Linked DNA regions of Daphnia pulex. The protein of the gene in region 1 interacts with the protein of each later gene in a biochemical or structural test. Links are inferred from orthologs where the notes say so. Each region holds a gene or a part of one and is shown on either strand. Other genes may lie near its edges. The genes, in order: peroxisomal targeting signal 1 receptor-like and peroxisome assembly protein 12-like.

Region 1 (3,600 bases):
TGTCATGGTGCTGTTATTTCATGGCAAAGATAACTACCTTGTGTATCCTCTTCACTCTGCCCTAGACGATATCCAGTTCCTTTAAATGTTTGATTACCCTTGGTTGAGGTTGAGGCCCCCTTTTCCAAAACTTCTGCTCCATGCCTAGGATCCAGAAAATGTTAATACATTTTTCTTGTAATAATCTCAAAGAGTAAACCCACTCTCTGGCTGATTTGAACATGTCTCCAATGAGATCTCCAGAAGGCTTTCCCTTGTTACGTGGTGGACCAATGACTTGCTGACCACTTCTCTCAGAGCCTCCAACATAAAAAGCTTGGCCCTCTTCATCCGAATCAGAAGAACTATTCATTTCTACAAGTTTATGGACAGCAGCAGCACCTCTATAATTAAATTTTCAAAATTTGGTCTGCACTACAGTATGTGAAAAATCATATTAACTAATACCTTGATGGGGGTTCTGGAAGTTGGTTTGAAGGAACTTCAACAGGTTCATCTTCTCCATCTCCAGCTTGCCTGTCCATAGCTCCATCATTTTCAAAGAAGCTGGCAAGGGCTGTCTGAGAATCAAAGTGATTTATTTATTGAATGCTCATAACTGTTCTTAATCTGTCTTAGTATACTTCTAATTGCCAACCGGATGACTCTAGGTAAAAACGAGCCCTTTGTTCATCAATCCCAGTTACTTCCCGGAAATTGGCAACTAATTCGTCGTTCGCTGACATGTTCAAACTAAATGTATTGAGTAATTACAATAGACAGGCAAAACTAGGCAGAATTTCAAGACTAAAATATTTTCACCAAACGAAGGACAGAGCTGACGACTCGTCGGATCGGGATTTCGAACAAAAGTCGTAATGTTTTTCATGACCGACAGAGCCATCTATACCACCATGGCCTTTATTCACTAGGTGGCTTTTGTTGTTTGTTGTACGAAATTGGTGTGGATGTGACTTTGCAGAGTGATAGAAGTTACAGTGATAAGACATACACACGATATCTTAACAACTTGCTTTCATAAGTTATATTGATGAATAGTATTGGGAAATTATTACCGAACCATTCTTGAGCTAGACCCTCTTTTTAGGTAACACATGATTTCTAATGACACATGTGTAACAGAAACTAATATATTGTTTTGTATTTTTAGGTAGCTATACATTCAGGAAGAAGTTTGGAGACCTTGAGCTCGGACATCAGTACCTAGAATGGCGTTTCGAGAATTAGTTGATGGAAATTGTGGTGGAAGGAATCCTATGCTTAAAGTAGCATCACATTTTACCAGAGATCAAGGATTTCGTCAGGATGTACCTGTTTCACATAGACACCCTGAACCGAGACCAGAAGATGTTGTAAGTTGATTCCTGACTCACTGTCTAAAGAAAAAGCATTCTCTCACAAATCTTTTTTTTATCTCAACTATTTTCTAGATGGTCAGAGAATTTTTGGAGGGTATTCCACCTCCATCTCAAGTAGGATCAAGAGGTGCCTTTAACATGGATAGCCTTTTACGTGAGATGAGGGATCTGGAAAAGCCACAAGGAATTGCTAGACCTCCTATTCAACCAGGACCAAATGTAGCCCATTATGCATTTGATGACAAAAACTGGGCTGAAGATTTTTTGAGGAAAGAACCTCATGTGATACCAGAAGATTTACCTTCTGCTAGTGGATGGAGTCAGGAGTTTCTGGACAGTCCTGGCTATATGGGAGTTGTAGATGATTATGCAGAGTGGGACAACCATTGGGATAGCTTAACCTCTCATATAGAAAAACCGGGATTTTCTGCTCCTGGCGCATTAGCCCAAACTGCCGGAGAAATTATTGACAGAATGAAAGATCCAAAATTTGCTCAATCTGAGGTAATATTTTATGCGCATGATCCCTTTCCTGACCAAAGTTTCTGAAAAAAAGCTTTCAGTTTTTGCAGTTTATGCACAAGGTCAATCAAGGGGAGGAGGATTTGACCTCGGAACCTCGGACTACTACCGCTCATAGTAATTCAAACTGGGCGGAGGAGTTTTCTGGCTCAGAGGGTGTAACAAGACAGCCAGAATCCAGTGCAGATCAAGACTGGGCTGCTGAATTCACAACTAATCGTCAACCTGATTCGGCCGACGAATGGACAAAAGAATTCAGCGGTAGTGTTATATATTTTAAGTAGCTAATCAACTTCATCCTTGTAATTTTTTTTGCATATATAAAGACGGTGCCAGCGCTGAAGTGTTTAGGGGCGGAAATCCAGCTCAAGATGACTTCTGGTCACAACTTCAACAAGACTGGGAAAAAGCAGCCGACGACAACCCTGCAAGCTACGGATGGCTTAAGGAAACGCAACAAGATCCGTTAAGTGAAGTAATAATGCGCATGGTATTTACTAGTTCCTTGATTCTCACTTCTGTTGGTTTTTAGTACACATTTGAGGCAGAGAATCCGTACCAAGACAACGCGGATCCTTACAATACAGGTCTCCAAAAAAGATTAGAAGGTGATCTTCCAAGTGCCATTTTGCTGTTTGAGGCAGCTCTAAAAAAAGATCCTGAACATGTGAAAGCTTGGGAAGTTCTTGGTAAAAATATCTAATTATTTATATGCCAGGATTCTGTGTAAAGTTAGCTTGTTTTTTATTTTAGGGTTGACTCTTGCCGAAAACGAACAAGATCCAGGGGCAATTACCGCATACAAGCGTTGCTTAGCATTGGAACCAACAAATCTTGTTGCCATGATGGGTCTGGCTGTAAGTTACACAAATGAATCTTACCAGTTGCAAGCTTGCCAAGCCCTGGAGGTAATTGTTTTCCAATTAGTGTAAGGCATACAACATTAAAGGTGGTTTTATATTATTAGGACTGGTTGCGGAACAATCCCAAGTACGGACACTTGACCTCTCCTTCATCAGCCAGGGTTAACGAACGGGAGAGAACATTTACAAGCCTAGTTTCTGGGTACAGGAAATATTTTCTAATTTGTTGTGATATTACGGCGCAAACTTACCCGAGTTTTAAATTCTACCTAGGGATACTTTTAACCGAGTTCAGGATATGTACTTAACAGCAGCTCGATTACAACCTTCCCAAGACTTAGATCCCGATGTGCAAACTGGCTTAGGCGTACTTCTCAATCTCTCTGGGGATTTTGATAAAGTATGATGCATTTATGAAATTATTCGATTTTCTTGATTTTTTCAATTGGCTGCATTGCTTCAATTTTTAGGCTCCCGATTGTTTCAGGGCTGCTCTTCAGATGAAACCTAATGTAAGTTGTGGTGATTTATTATTTGCATGTACTTTTTTCAAGTTTATGATTTTATTTATTGTTAATTCCTATTTTCAGGATTCTTTGCTTTGGAATCGGCTCGGAGCAACTTTAGGTGACTAGCTTTTCTTACATAGAATAGTCTTACATAAGAACGTATGCATGATTTACGTGTTATTTGTAGCCAATGGAGGGAAATCTGAAGAGGCCATTGAGTCATATTACAAAGCTCTAGAGCTGTCGCCTGGTTTCATTCGCGCGCGTTATAACTTGGCAGTTTCCTGTATCAACCTAGGTGCTCACAGGTAATAAAGATTAACATTTTCTTTCTCCAATCCTGTTTAG
Region 2 (3,354 bases), on another chromosome or scaffold:
TTTTTACGATTGGTTTGCCTGACATTTTGCCTACCAGAATGGTGTTGACAGAAAACGAGTTGTCGCCGTTCCCCACCAGACGACACTAGCGTAATAGGGAAGCCGCGAGAGGAAAAGTGGTGCACGCCTTGTGTGATATATTGCACTTGTGCAGTCAGACATGGGTTGGTTCGTCCCACAGCCCGACGCCAACGACATCTAGGCCCGGAATATCTTGATTAACTGAACGCCATCTTGGGAAAGAAACCTAAAACAATAACGTTAAACAGGGGCGTCCCTAAACTGCGAAAGCGAAACGCGAAACGCGAAACGCCTAAAATGCGGAAAAGCTGTGCGAAACGGACCAAAATTTTGGGACCGTTTCGCGGGACCAAATGCCGGAGGGCATACTAAAGAGCGAAACATCTTGCGAAACAAAAAGTTTTCCTTTTCATCACAGAGGTCCAAATTGACGGAGATTGCCGCCATTTTTCATTGTCTCCCGCTATGATGAGGCATTAAAGGAGGAAGGGGGGCAATCAAATTCGATTTCTTCGCCACTACCCCTGTATGTTTTCATGCGCATTTTACGATTATTAAACTAATGAAAGACATAGAGCAGCACGTTATGGTGATATTTTTAAATAATAAAATATTAGGTAATGGCCCAGGGATTATACATTACATTAAATAATTTAAATCAACCAGTAGGTACGTGCACAAAGAAAGAATCGGCCATAACAGTATGAGTGCCTTATATCAAGCTAAAAATCAAAGCTACCATGTTCCAAATCAAGCTAAAATTCAATCAGCTAAAACTTTCCTTAAAATTAAGAATGTTAATCTGATTGATACTGATACATGGAAACGAGAAGTTCCATTAATTTTTTTTATACCAATCTTCTAATTAAAAACACCTATTGCATATTGCATTCAAGGTATTTCGTATTCATGGTCAACACACAAATAGACCAGCGGACCAGCCATAAGGTGCGCGAAACTCGAAGTCTCGAAAATTTGAAACTCTTAACAAATTGTTTGTTGACGGCGTCCATTGTCGTCTGCTACCAAGACGTTTACACTGCGACGTTTCGCACACACCGATTTCGCAGTTTAGTACGGACCCAAAGACTAAAATGCGAAACAGGGTCCCAAAATTTTGGTCCGTTTCGCACAGCTGTTTCGCATTTTAGGCGTTTCGCGTTTCGCGTTTCGCTTTCGCAGTTTAGGGACGCCCTTAAACAGTGCTGTATTTTTGTTTGACACAAAAAAAGCAAGACAAATTCATGTAATAAAAACAACATTATGCCGTTTTCTTTTGAATAAGCAAGGTTTTTAAATTTGAGTACTTACGTTATGGCTGAAAGAGGGGCGCATTTAAGTCAGTTACTTCTAGATTCTAGTAGGCCATCGATTTTTGAGTTAGTTGCTCAGGAAGGACTTAATCAAGCCCTTCGTGGGACCATAAAGTTCGTCTTCAGGGTACGTTTGTAACACATTCAATTGAAATAAAAGAACTACCAACTCTATATCAATTGTAGGTGTGTGCTAATCATTATCCAGAAACATTTGGTTTATCATTTCGCTGGGCAAATGAAATTCAGTTACTATTTGATTGTTTTCTGCAAAACTATTACCTACGAAACTATGGTTTGTTGATAATTTTTCTTCAACTTATTTACATTTTTGAAATACGTCTTTGTGATTTACAGAAATGTTGTGCTTTTTTTTTCAGGAGCTTCATTTGCTGAAAATTTTTATGGATTAGAACGAGTCACAAAAGAAGACTGCACTTTGAATGGGAAAGGAACACTTCACTCTCTAATCAGTTTGACAATTCTGCCATATGCCTTGTCCAAATTAGATGCCTACTTTTCAGAAAGGCAGCAGCACAACCAGCAACATCCTGTTCTCAACTTTTCGAGTATCCGGTTCATCTATGATTTGACAGTCTTAGTGAACTGGATGCTCTATACATGGGGCAAATCTGTGACCCATTCACCTATTTTGCACCTTCTTGGATTGAAGTTAAAACATGGTGGTGACAACAGTAGCCCTGGCATTTCACTCACTAAAATAATTGAACTGAGTGCCTTCTTCATCCAATTTCTTGAGTGGTGGTTTACTAATCAGTCATCACAGGCTAAGAGTATGCTTTCCTTACCCATTCCACCTCCTCCACATTCCATTGTACAGAATCAACACTCCAAACCAAGGACTGGTGTTTGTCCCCTTTGTCAACAGCAATGGAAAAATGAGTGCGTTCTTCGCGTATCAGGGTAACTTAAATCATTAAGAAATACTTCGAACTGTAATTATATCTCACCATTTTTTTCACAGTTATGTTTACTGCTATCGCTGTATTTTGCCCTACCTAAAAGAGAATAACAAATGCCCCATCTCCAAGCTTCCAGCATCCCCAAATGACCTGATACGTATATTTGCCAACGCCGAGTAAACAACGTCCCAAAGATTTGCAGATTTCGATCCTGTGGAACAAATTGCACAATATTGATGTTAACTTACTTTCAAACAGATACATATAAATACAAGATTGAAATACATCTAGAAACATAATTAAATAAGTACGAACGAATTCCATCGCATCATTTATTAGACTGGTATCTCCATCGAAATCTTTTAAATATATGGGGAAGCGTTTCTCACATTTTACTCAAACACAAGCAAATGAAACAATACTCAAACAAATGTAACCGACGGATAGCTGGGCGTCTTTTGAGACCTCGAGGACATAACACAAACGGAAAAAAGGTAATAATAAAAATAAATAAATACATAATACGACGTCTCTTGCTATGTCCTTTTTCCCTTCTTTCACTATTCCATAAATGTATGCTTTTTTAATTTTGTTTTTTTAAAGGTGAGGTCGCGGTTTTATTAATTTATTCACTCTCAAAGTACGAGATGATGACCATCGGGATGTGGAATGTTCACCGTATTTTTGTTTTCATCGAGCTTTTTCATGAAACGCGGAGTAAATTTTAAAGACGGCCAAACCGAAACAATCGAGTGGAAAGCGCAAGTTTCCTTTCATATAAAAAGTATAAGGTGGGAGGGAGGAGGGAGACGAGGAGGGAGTGAGGACTGGAACAAGAGTGCAGGAGACGGTCGCCATGGATCCCCACTCGCTGACTACATTACACGATTCACGATTGGATAATAAGAGGAAAGCAAGAGTGGGATCATCAAACAACACTATTGCACGTGATAGAATGATAAAAAAAGAGGATGAAGAGCAGTGTTGATAGTAAAGTAAAAGAATCAGAAAAACAAGAGAGAAAGAAATGTGAAAATAAAGAGATAGATATAAGAGAAACTCGCTCACATTTTCGGTGAACGAGCTTTTACAAATGT

The links.
Region 2: the proteins of peroxisomal targeting signal 1 receptor-like (region 1) and peroxisome assembly protein 12-like form a complex in vitro, tested with the Homo sapiens proteins (2 studies listed by BioGRID). The link is inferred for Daphnia pulex from reciprocal best matches to the Homo sapiens genes PEX5 and PEX12.

The regions. Positions count from the first base shown.
Region 1 is NC_060028.1:9,644,747-9,648,346, reverse strand, and holds the start of peroxisomal targeting signal 1 receptor-like, read left to right. Parts: upstream 1-905; 5' UTR 906-1,087; intron 1,088-1,150; 5' UTR 1,151-1,208; coding exon 1,209-1,352; intron 1,353-1,430; coding exon 1,431-1,862; intron 1,863-1,921; coding exon 1,922-2,141; intron 2,142-2,206; coding exon 2,207-2,355; intron 2,356-2,412; coding exon 2,413-2,569; intron 2,570-2,633; coding exon 2,634-2,788; intron 2,789-2,847; coding exon 2,848-2,945; intron 2,946-3,016; coding exon 3,017-3,143; intron 3,144-3,213; coding exon 3,214-3,255; intron 3,256-3,333; coding exon 3,334-3,370; intron 3,371-3,439; coding exon 3,440-3,560; intron 3,561-3,600. Other genes in the region: NSFL1 cofactor p47-like, read right to left, coding at 38-144, 204-383, 448-560, 624-725.
Region 2 is NC_060025.1:2,868,825-2,872,178, reverse strand, and holds peroxisome assembly protein 12-like, read left to right. Parts: upstream 1-1,179; 5' UTR 1,180-1,335; coding exon 1,336-1,461; intron 1,462-1,520; coding exon 1,521-1,629; intron 1,630-1,714; coding exon 1,715-2,258; intron 2,259-2,319; coding exon 2,320-2,437; 3' UTR 2,438-2,543; downstream 2,544-3,354. UniProt on the Homo sapiens protein: Component of a retrotranslocation channel required for peroxisome organization by mediating export of the PEX5 receptor from peroxisomes to the cytosol, thereby promoting PEX5 recycling.